Linked DNA regions of Sus scrofa. The protein of the gene in region 1 interacts with the protein of each later gene in a pairwise test. Links are inferred from orthologs where the notes say so. Each region holds a gene or a part of one and is shown in the gene's direction. Other genes may lie near its edges.

Region 1 (3,649 bases):
GAGATACAACCAGCACTTTCTGTGGCACTCCTAATTACATTGCTCCTGAAATTTTAAGAGGAGAAGATTATGGTAATAAATAAACTAGTGACATTTGACTATATACTAGAAGGGTGGTTAAATATGGTACCAATTGCAGAGTTCCCTGGTGGCTCAGAGAGTTCAGGATCCTGTGTTTTCACTGCTGTGGCCTGGGTTTGATCCCTGGCCCAAGAACTTCCACATGCCATGAACTTGTCCAAAAATATATATATATATATATATGGTAGTAATTGCATTACAGTACACTGTAGTATTTCAATACTGATCTTTTTTTCTTTTTTTTTTTTCCTGACTGCCCCATGGCACATGGAGCAACGTCTTAATTAATTCACTGTGCTGGGCCAGGGATCAAACCTCTGTCCCAGCACTGCAGAGACACTGCTCATCCCATTGTACCACAGTGGGAACTCTAATACTGATCTTATTAATATAAACCTTTTTTTTCTTTTGGCTGCACCCATGGCATGCAGAAGTCCCCGGGCCAGGGATTCAACCTGTAAACCTGCGCCACAGCAGCGACCCAAACCATAGCAGCGACAATGCTGGATCCTTAATCAACTGAGCCACCAGGGAACTCCAATATAAACTTTCTTGATCCTCTTAAAACCAGTGTGAAAACCCCAGACTCTGAAATTGGAGACAGTGGGACCTTGGCAGATTTTGAGGGTGCAAATTTGAATAATACATTTTATTAATGCAAGCACTTAACAGTGCTAGGCACAAGTTTAAGCAGTTTGCATATATTAACTAAGTTAATCCTCTCAATGATCCTGTGAGGTAAGCACTATTAATTACCATTTTACAAACAAGCTGATTTACAGAAAGTTTAAATCACTTGCCCAAGGTCATGTAGCTAGAAACAGGAAGAGTTGGGATTTAAACTTCAGCCATGTGACTCTAGAGTCATAAACCTCTGGAAAATTGTTCAGATATTGTGGGGTATTTTTCCTAGGAATCTAAGATTGACTGCTTGTTAGGAACCAGAGGATATGTTTATCTTAAAATATTTGACCCTTTGGGTTCTGGCCCTCTGATTTCAGCAGTTATAAAGGAGGATGGGTACTTCTGATAGCTGCTCATAATCTGGTTCCAAAGTCCTTTAAGAATCTAATCAGGTAACAGGAGATCAAGTTGCAGACCAAGGAAGGCTATTCTCAGTACACTTATATCCTTGAAATATCAGATACAGCCACAGCAACATCAGATCCTTAACCCACTGAGTGAGACCAGGGATCAAACCCACATCCTCATGGATACTTGTTGGGTTCATTACCACTGAGCCATGATGGGAACTCCTGATAAGTGAAATTTTTTTTGGTAAGTGAAATAGTCCCGTAATCCTCAATGCCTACCATGATAGTTGTAATGCATTTAGAGTTTGCTTTTTCATGAAGTTTACTTTTTTATTATGTAATAAAATGAATCTCAAATCACTGACTTTTAAGACCGCAGAATGGATAATTTGTTGCTTTAAAATTTCTTTTTCAAAGGTTTCAGTGTTGACTGGTGGGCCCTTGGAGTACTAATGTTTGAGATGATGGCAGGAAGGTCTCCATTTGATATTGTTGGGAGCTCTGATAACCCTGATCAAAACACAGAGGATTATCTTTTTCAAGGTAATTTGCAGTATTTTACAGAGATTCTCTGTGGATAACCTGTTCTAGAGCATGAATGAGGACAGCTTAAGTATTAACTTTGAGTAAGAAAGAGAATCATCTGGACAGTATATTCCTTAACATGTGAAGCTTTAAGTTTGTTTTTATTTCAATATATCCTTTTTTACTTCTCTTGTCTTCAGTCCATTTGCTAGTTACCTTCTCATACCCAAAAACACAGAAAGAGGTTCTTTCAGATGGTGTATCGCAGAGATTGGAGGAAGGAATTGTGTGTGTAGAGCGGACAGTCTTTTCACCTGGACCATGAGGCCGAATGCATAAATCTAAGAACAGTATGGAGGAAAAGTAGAGTACTAAGAAAACAAGAGGGATCAAAAGGTGAAAGAAAAAAAAGCCCCTAAATTGGAAATAACAAAGAAATGAACAGAACAGAAAGAAACAAGCAGACAGGCACAAGGACCACCCCCAACACACAGTCCAAAGAAGTTACCGTAAGATCCTGTGTTTAGCAGTTAAGGCCGTCACAGGAAATGGATAGATCTTTCATGTAATAGGAAATCCATATGGCTGTGGAATATATGGAAAGACATTCAACTTCACTACCAATTAGGTGTGTGCACATTAAAATGTTAATGAGCTACTATTTCATACCCACGCATTTGACAAAAATTTTTAAAGTCTGATAATAACTGTGCTGGTGAGGATACAGAGCAACTGGAACTCTCTTAGACTGGTAGTGGTAGTAAAAATTGACACTGCAGCTTTGGAGAATGATTTGGCAACATCCAGTAAAATCGATATAGTAATGTATACCACACATTTTACTGATACTAACTCATTTAAACCTCTTAACACCCCTATGAATCAGGTATTATTTGTATTCCAATTGCACAGATGAAACCAAGACAAAGGAAAGTAGTCAAAGAATAAAATGTATCCAGGTAAATATTATAAAAACTATTTAGATTAGGAGCTGTCTCTGAGAAGGAAGGAAAGGAATGGGATTGGGAATACACAGGACGCTTAAGTGGTGTGTGTAATGTCTTGGTTTTTTCCTGCTAGAATGCCTTAATTATCTCATAATAAAAATTTAAAGACTTGTAAAAGTTAAATAAAATGCCATAAATTTTACCTTTCTAGTTATTTTGGAAAAACAGATTCGCATACCACGTTCTCTGTCTGTAAAAGCTGCAAGTGTCCTGAAGAGCTTCCTCAACAAGGTATAAATTGTGTATAAAATCTGTAGTGATTTATCTCCGTACAAATGAAACTGGTAAGTAGAAGTCCAGGCACCTTAAAACTCTGAAATCAGAGACAATGGACCATCATCAAAGAGTAAGTTGGCAGCATTAGATCCTGAGAGGAGTTATTTCCATTTAATTTGCCCCCAGCTATATATTGCATGTGGTGTTTTCAAGGTAAATGATATATACCATGTACTCAATTAGGGAAAATTTACATCTTTGGGGATAGTCTTAATTTTATTTTCAGCTCTATTTTTTAAAATTTTCATAGAGTATCTTTACTTATTATTGAGAACTTGGGGCAGTAGATTCCCTACAAAATCTCATATCAAAACCCTATAATTAGATAATATTCAGAAGAAATGAAATGCTATCATTGGCTCTTTAAAAAATCTGAACACCATTCCATTGTTTGTTGCATTGATGGACTAAAAGCATTTTAGGATCTAAGATTACAATTCTGAAGTGTTTTTACTTATCACTTCTAACACCACATGTGTAGTTTTTTGTTTTTTGTTTTCCACACAAACAACCAACTCTCCAACTCTTACTTTAAAAATCTTATTTTAAATAAGTGGTAGATTAGAAAGTAGGTTGATGTACATTTAGTTTCTAAGATAAATAGATATGATATTGATTTAAAAAGATAAATTCAGGCTTATTTTAAACAAATATTTTATATGAAGAAAGATTTAAACTAGAAACTTAAGTTTTAACACAGTGAAGAATGAAGGTGAAAAGTGTCAG
Region 2 (4,268 bases), on another chromosome or scaffold:
GATGAGCAGCAGTGCTGCTGGGAGCCCCTCTGCAGGTGGGTGGGGGCCTTGGGGGTCTCCTCACCGCCCTAGCAGGGCCAGTGCTGAACAGGGTTCCTGTGAGGAGAAAGCCAGTTCTGGGGCATTTAGAGAGACGGATTCAGTCATTTATTATCTGCCGGGTGGGGAGACAACGAACACAATCCAGTCATTGGTGCACAAAGCGAATAGCCCAGAAACGGCCAGAGGGAGAGGGAAACTTCAGAGATTAAAAAAAAAAATAAAAAGGAAAGCCCTGGAAGGCTGATCTAGAAGTACTCTCTGCCGGACCTTCGAGAAGCCATCCATGGCCTCAGCCCTCCGTTCTAGTGCCCACTCAACCCCTTGGGATCTGACGGACTGAAGAGTCTTTACTAACAAAACTAAGTCAGGAGAGCCCCTGAGATTCTTGCCCAGTAACTGCTGCAGAGGCGAGAAACTTGAATTTTGCAATCAGAGTTGCAGCCAGAAGCCTAAACGACGTATATGGGTGCTGGAGGGGCATTGTTGCAGGCTGCAGCATCCCAAAGTGGAAGGGAAGGGACAGCACAAACCTATCAGCCCCACCGCGCCTCCGCAATCACCCGGGCGCGAGCTCCGGCCGGGTGCAAGGCAACGCGGCGCGCGCCTGCGCGTGCGCAAACGGCCAACCCGCCCTAGCTCGTCTCCAGGTGCGCTCACGCTTCCGGCCAGCGGTCCCGGGGCGGAAACTCCAGAGCGCGCGCATGCGCTTTCCAGCTCTCCTGCTTGGTCGAGAGAGGAGGCCCAAGGCTTCAGGTGATCCCGCCCCTCCCTCGCAACGCGGGACCAATTGTACGGCGGTAGGCGGGATTTTCGAGAAGGCGGCCCGCCCATGCGCTTCGCGAGGCGTGTATCAATTGGTTGGCGCTGAGGGCGCAGGTGCGCGCTTCCCATTGGGTGTGGGCGGAGCGCGAGCGGCCAAGGCGTCTACGGAGGCTGCAGGTGAGCGCGCGCACGAGCCGCGGCTTTTGCCCGGCTCGAGTGCGCGCGCGCGCGGGCTCGCGGGGGAGGTGGCCGGGAGCGAGGCTGCGGCGCCTGTCTCCTCTGCTCCGCCTCCTCCTCCTTCTCAGCGTCTCCGCCGCCGCGGAGGCCGGGAGGGAGGGAGTCGCGTCCCCGCCTGCAGCGCCGCCAGTCCGACCCTTGGTTCCGCCGCGTGAGGATCCAGTCGAGCGGAGCTCTGCGCAGAAACCCGAGCTGCGGCCGCCCCTCTGCAGGTGCCTGTGAGGAGGCGCCCGGGCCGCAGCCGCGTCGCGATTCCACCCGCCGCGCACTAGCTCCCTGCGCTTCCAGGGGCGGCCCCGCTGGAGGAGGCCGCTGAGGGGCCCGGCCTCAGGATGAACCGCAGCCACCGGCACGGAGCGGGCAGCGGCTGCCTAGGGACCATGGAGGTGAAGAGCAAGGTGCGCGGGGCCCGGGCTGGGCGGAGCGGCCAGCTAGATGGGGACTGGGGCCGGGGCCTTGTGGGGATGAAGGGGACCGACTGGGGCCTGGGGGAGGCCAGGGGCTGGCCAGGGCCGGCCTTAGGAGCTGCCCGGGGGCTTGAGAGCGTAGGGGACGCAGTGGTGGGTTTTGTAGGTAGAAGAAAGTGGGTAATGAACTTGCTGAGAAGGGGGCGAGGGTGGGGGCATCGTGTCTGCCCCTGCTCCAGGTAGGAAAAAGACCAGTCTCCTTCCATAAAAATCGTTCCTGTTCTAGGATGGGAGCAAGGGCCGAGGTCTACCCGAGGGTGGGAGACGTTTGAGCGGAGCGTGGTACGAAACATTTGGAGGAATTCTATCTCCTGGCCTATGAGTAAAGGGTATTTAGAACACCCATGGTCACAAAATGTTACCTCTTCCTGTGGTTCAAGGGTGCATCGAGTAGTGGTGAGAGAGCCCAGGGAACTTAAGAGCCCTTCTAAAGTTAGCTTTGCCTCCTGCTAGGGATTTTTCTAGCTCTAACTTTGGCATGCATTTAATCTATAAAATTAACACAATCTCTACTTTCGTTAGCCCTTTACAGTTTGAATCTGGGTGCTCTTTTCATTCCATCATGCTACCTTTTCACGTCAAGTGTTTTCACTCTCGACCAACGGTATGTCAGTCTGCTGATAATTACCTCGGTAGCCACGGAATTCCTAAACTGCAAGGCTCCCTGAGCAGGATAGCGTATGAGATTAGTAAGGGAATGCTTTCCAAGGGGAGTTTTGAGCTGGAATTTGAAGATGATCCCCCGCCCCACCCCCAAACATGAATCGAAGAGCCAAAAGGGACTTAGATAATCTAGTCTGATTCTCCAGGAACATGAGGAGCTCAGAAAGGTTATGACTTCGACAAGCTCTGCTTTTTATGACAAAATCTTAAAGCCTTTTTAAGGATAAGGTGTAGGCTTCAGAGACTGCAAAAGAGAACAGGGGCCGGGCAACATGTGGCGTTGGGAAGATCAAAACACATGAAGGAAGAGGAGAAAAGTAAAACCGTATCAACTTAAAAAATAATGAAATATCATTGAATGTAAGATTACAGGAGGAGAATGCAAAATCAAGGGGTGATTTTCAGTGCAGTAGAGTAAGGAGGGCTCCCTGGAGCCTGTGGATAGAATGGTTTCTATTATCCAGAGTTGATAAGTAAAGTTCTGTAAATTGCTGTAACTGAGATCATTGCGCTAAGAATATCTACACTTTTTTTTTTTTTTTTTTTTGGTCTTTTTGCTATTTCTTTGGGCCGCTCCCGCGGCATATGGAGGTTCCCAGGCTAGGGGGTCTAATCGGAGCTGTAGCCACTGGCCTACGCCAGAGCCGTAGCAACGTCGTGTCGGATCCCAGCCGCGTCTGCAACCTACACCACAGCTCATGGCAACGCCAGATCCTTAACCCACTGAGCAAGGCCAGGGACCGAACCCGCAACCTCATGGTTCCTAGTCGGATTCGTTAACCACTGCTCCGGGACGGGAACTCCTACACTTATTATTAACATTATTTTAAAATGTAATTTTCAACCTAACTCGTGTATCAGAATAGGCACTAGTTTCAGAAACTGTTCTGCTTAATAAGAGTATAAATGTAATTATGGCAGTTTAAGGAATACACTTTCCAGTGTCCCCCATGGAACTGCCATAGCAAATTGAAGTAACATGCTTGAACTAAGTTAAGAATAACTCAAAATATATAGAACTTTCCCTCTAGTGTAGTGGTGGTAGTGGTTCCGTGCCCAGAGCTTGAACCTTTTCATGGCATTTCTGTTTTAAATCTAGTTTGGGTTTGTAGGAGTTGAGGTTAAGAAAAGAAAAACACTTATGATATTGCATAATCTTGAAATTCAGTTTGCGGTCCTAATCGTGGTAGCAAGTCTTTAATTTTTTATCATTGGAAAAAAATGAGTAAGGCTTCTAGGTGCACTGATAAATACAGTCAAGTAGTAATTTATCTCTGGGACTCGGAAACCTTGAGGTCTTGGGGACTGGAATTTCAGGCTTACTGCCCTTCTCTTCTGTCAACTGATCTGTGATTTTTTTCCCATACTATGTATTTTACTTGTCATTCTAGTGAATCATGTCTCTTAAATAGAATTAAGGCATTCTGAGAACCTGCATCTCATGAAGTGAGGTCCCACTCGAGTTCCAGCTCTTGATAAATAGGCACAGTGCTGTTTCTAGTGTGTCCTGACACCTTGTGTTTTAAATATGCATTTATTTTTAATGGATTAAATAAAACACCTGGCATCTTTGCCCTTTAAAAAATATTTGGACAGATGTGTGAAACAATACTTCCTTTTTCACTACCTTAGTGATATCACAACTTTTTACAAAGTTGTTCTCCAGGAGCTTGTAACCACAACTAGGTGATGTCCAGATCACCTTTCAGGATCTTTTTCTTCTGCACAGAAAACAGTATCAACTTTATTATCTTTGCTCATGGAAAGGGAAAATAGCACAAGTAATGGATAATACAAATATAACTATAGTTAAGTTGCGATGCCAGTTACCATGTGACTTTGGTAACTGATGTATCATCCTGTTTCTCCAGAGTTGGAAAAGCTCTTAATCAATAAGCAAGGTGGTGTCCTTTAATAACCTTGGGTTATTAAAGACTTGGAATAGTCTTTGGTCTGTACATTTCCTAGTTATTATTTGTGGGCAAACAGAATCTTAAAATTGTTTGCATTTCTAGAACATACCAAAAGATGCCGGGAGACGGATGTCCACACACATTCTAGGTGGCTAGGACAAGCTACACAGGGCTAAAAAATGTA
Region 3 (3,649 bases), on another chromosome or scaffold:
ATAAGTGGGTTGCATCCTGCCACAGCATGTTGCAGGGCTGTTGTAGTCCTAGGACTATTGTCTTCCTGCTAGTGGTCAAAGCTGGGGCCACGGGAGTTCTGGGGCTGGTACTTGTCCACTGGTAGGCAGAGCTGGGTCCTACAGTCTCTGGCTGCAGGGCCTGTGGATCTTGGGTCTAGTGCCAGTACACTGGTATGTGGTGTTAGGTCCTAGGCTCTCCACTGGGCAGGGATATCTGCAGGAGTAGCTGCGGACTCATAATGTCCTAAAGTAGCCTGCCTGCCAGTGGGTGGGGCTGTGTCCCTGCCTGGCTAGTTGTTTGTCCTGGGGCCTCCCGGTACAGATGCCTTACAGGCTGTGGTCCAGGGATGGGGCTGGGTCCTGAGACTAACAAGCTAGAGAGAGGACTCCAAAATGGCACTTGCCAGTACCAGTGTCCATGTGGTGGTACAGGTTCCCCCAAAATGGCTGCCACAGTGTCTGTGTCCCCAGGAGAACTTCAGTTGCTTCCTGCCTCTCCAAGAGACTCTCCAAGATCAGCAGGTGGGCCTGACTCAGCCTCTTTTCAAATTACTGCTTCTGCCCTGTGTCCTGGGGCATGTGAGATTATATTGTGACTTGGTTTGGGTTTCTTTGAGTTCATCGAGTTTGGATGTTTATATTTCTGCATTTCATAAAGTTTGGGAGTTTTCAGGTATTGTTTCTTCATAGTCCCTCCACTCCTTTCTCTTCTCCTTCTGAGACTCTCACAAGTTACTTGTCAGTTTGTTTAATGGTATCCCAGCAGTTGTTTAGGCTCTGTTCACTTTTAATTTTTTTTTGTTTCTCACTGATTCCTTCTTCTACCTGTTCAGATCTGCCTTTGAATCCCCCTAGTGAGTTTTTCATTTCAGTTATTGTACTTTTCGGCTCCAGAATTTCAACTTGGTTTCCCTTTAGGTTTTCTGTCTCTTTATTGATATTTCCATTTCATACATTTTTTCCCCATATCTTTTTTTTTAGGTTTTTGATCATGTCTTTTTTTTTTTTTTTTTTTTTTTTTGTCTTTTTGTCTTTTTGCCTTTCCTAGGGCCGCTCCTGCAGCGTATGGAGGTTCCCAAGCTAGGGGTCTAATTGGAGCTGTAGCCACAGGCTTACACCATAGCCACAGCAACATGGGGGATCTGAGCTGTGTCTGCAACCTACACCACAGCTCACGGCAACACCAGATCCTTAATCCACTGAGCAAGGCCAGGGATCGAACCCACAACCTTCATGGTTCCTAGTCAGATTCGTTAACCATTGTACTACGATAGGAACTCCAGGCCACTTTTTTGAAGTCTTTGTCTATAAACCTAGAATTCTCTTGTGGCATAGCAGGTTAAGGATATGGTATTGTCACTGCAGTGGCTTGCATTGCTGCTGTGGCATGGGTTTGGTCCCTGGCCTGGGAACTTCTACATTCTATGGAAGTGGCCAAAAAAAAATTAAAAATCAAGTCTTTAGTAAATCTGCCATCAGATGGTTTAGGGACAGTTTCTGTTATTTTCCTTTGAGTAGATCATACTCTCGTTTATTTGTATGTCTGTGGATTTTTTTGCTAAACATTGGAGATTAATTTAATGATGTGGTAGCTCTCTGGAAATCAGATTCTACCCCTTCCTCAGGGTTTGCTAAGTTTTTGTTGTTACTCTTTTGGGTTTTTGAAAATTATTGTAGGCTGTCTCTTTGCTGAGTATGAGCATTAAGATGTGAACTTAAGTTCTTCTAAGGTTCATTCTGAGATTTTCCTTATGCGTGTGCAGTCACTTTCCAACTTTCCCCATTTATACAGTTGTTTTTAATGTCCTAGACTTTAAGGTTTGGCTTCCAAAATGTGAAAACATGAAAAATGAAGGAAGAGAAAGAGTGCCAGCCCTATAACTCTCCTGGACATTCCTTTAGCTGGAAGGGATGGGCTTGCAACAAGGCAGGGAGGTACAATAGCCACTCACCTCTGTCTGTGCCTTTGTGATCAGAAGTAGCAGTCAGCAGCAGAGCATAGATCTCTGATGTTTGGAGGACAGGGTATTTTTTTCCCACCATGGTCCCACAAACTGCTCCAGAAACATGTGCACAGCTGCTTGCTTGGGTGCTAGGATAGTAGAAAAGTAGCTGCTACTGTGCTAAGTGTTGAAATTGACCAAAATCGACCACAATTACCATCCAATTCTTCCCCTGGAAGTTTAGCCTTCAGCAGACTCTCAAGTTCCAAAAGAGTTACATCAGACAGATTCTGCCCTGCAGTTATTGTCCTGATGGGGAAATATTCATGATGCTTTCTGTTCCACCATCATCCCAGAATTCAGTCAGTCACTTTTAAATCTTCCATCTAATTCTCTTAACCTTTCATTCATTCTGTTGGTTGCCTGGTTGGCAGGCGATCAGTTTGGGGATTTTTAAAGAACTAATTTTAGGGAGGTGATCGTGCTTGAATTCAGTGTCAAACGTTTACCTGGTGAATACTGTTAGTCCAGCTCAGCTGATTGCTGTGGGCTCAGCAAAGCAAGTCATCCAGTTACTCCAGTGTGTCTGCATATCATCCTGGAGGTTGAGACTTTCCCAGAAGGTGAAGTGTGCTGAAATGAACATTCAACTCCTAACCACCTGTGTGAGAGGTGTATTTATTTCAGTCTTTACCTGATCTGACTGTGGTAATCATTGCCTCGGACTTCCCTGGGGTCATATCACAGATTAGAGAAGTGGTGGGAAGGTAAGCTGCAGAAAGCCGAGATACACCTGGACAGCCAGCCTCAATGCTGCCTGACTGGTGCTTCCACATTGCCCCCATGGTCTGTCCTCTGACTGTTGCCTCTGCACTCTTCCAGAGGAGGCTGAGCATGGCAGCTTCGGGGCAGGCTCACTATCCAGGCGGCGGCGCGCACTGGCCCTGCGGGAGGACGGCCCTCGCCGGCGGGCGCACCTGCACATCGGCCTGCCGCACGACTTCCGCCCTGTGTCCTCCATCATCGATGTGGACATCCTCCCCGAGACCCACCGCCGTGTAAGGCTCTACCGGCACGGCTGCCAGAAGCCACTGGGCTTCTACATCCGCGATGGCACGAGCGTGCGCGTGGCCCCGCAGGGGCTGGAGAAAGTGCCCGGCATTTTCATCTCCCGCATGGTGCCTGGAGGCCTGGCTGAGAGCACTGGGCTGCTGGCCGTGGACGATGAGGTCCTGGAGGTAAATGGGATCGAGGTGGCCGGGAAGACGCTGGACCAGGTCACAGACATGATGATCGCCAACAGCCACAACCTCATCGTCACAGTCAAGCCAGCCAATCAGAGGAACAACGTGGTACGTGGCAGCCGCGCATCGGGCAGCTCCAGCCGATCCTCGGACAGCACGGCCAGCCGCCACAGCCTGCCCACTGCCCACGTCCTGCAGAACTTGCCCCCGGATGACATGGAGAGTGACGAGGAGGCTGATGTAGTCCTCGAGGTCTCTAGGCCGCCGGCCAGCAGCCTCCCGCGGATCAACGGAGCCAGCCTGGCATCCAGCCTGCATAGCCCTGGGCGAGAGGGCAGCATGCACAAGCTGCTCAGCTCCCTCCGGTCAGAAACCCGGCATAGCCTAAACCTGCCCCCAGGAGGGGTGGAGGAGCATGGTCCAGCAGTCACGCTGTAGGGC

What was found.
Region 2: the proteins of PRKCI (region 1) and PARD6B interact in binary tests that used the Homo sapiens proteins (3 or more experiments, as listed by UniProt). The link is inferred for Sus scrofa from reciprocal best matches to the Homo sapiens genes PRKCI and PARD6B.
Region 3: the proteins of PRKCI (region 1) and PARD6G interact in binary tests that used the Homo sapiens proteins (3 or more experiments, as listed by UniProt). The link is inferred for Sus scrofa from reciprocal best matches to the Homo sapiens genes PRKCI and PARD6G.

Annotation. Positions count from the first base shown.
Region 1 is NC_010455.5:108,985,945-108,989,593, forward strand, and holds part of PRKCI (protein kinase C iota type), read left to right. Parts: coding exon 1-72; intron 73-1,532; coding exon 1,533-1,658; intron 1,659-2,798; coding exon 2,799-2,878; intron 2,879-3,649.
Region 2 is NC_010459.5:52,193,987-52,198,254, forward strand, and holds the start of PARD6B (partitioning defective 6 homolog beta), read left to right. Parts: upstream 1-1,373; coding exon 1,374-1,439; intron 1,440-4,268. UniProt on the Homo sapiens protein: Adapter protein involved in asymmetrical cell division and cell polarization processes. Probably involved in formation of epithelial tight junctions.
Region 3 is NC_010448.4:128,163,609-128,167,257, reverse strand, and holds part of PARD6G (partitioning defective 6 homolog gamma), read left to right. Parts: intron 1-2,846; coding exon 2,847-3,646; 3' UTR 3,647-3,649. UniProt on the Homo sapiens protein: Adapter protein involved in asymmetrical cell division and cell polarization processes. May play a role in the formation of epithelial tight junctions. The PARD6-PARD3 complex links GTP-bound Rho small GTPases to atypical protein kinase C proteins.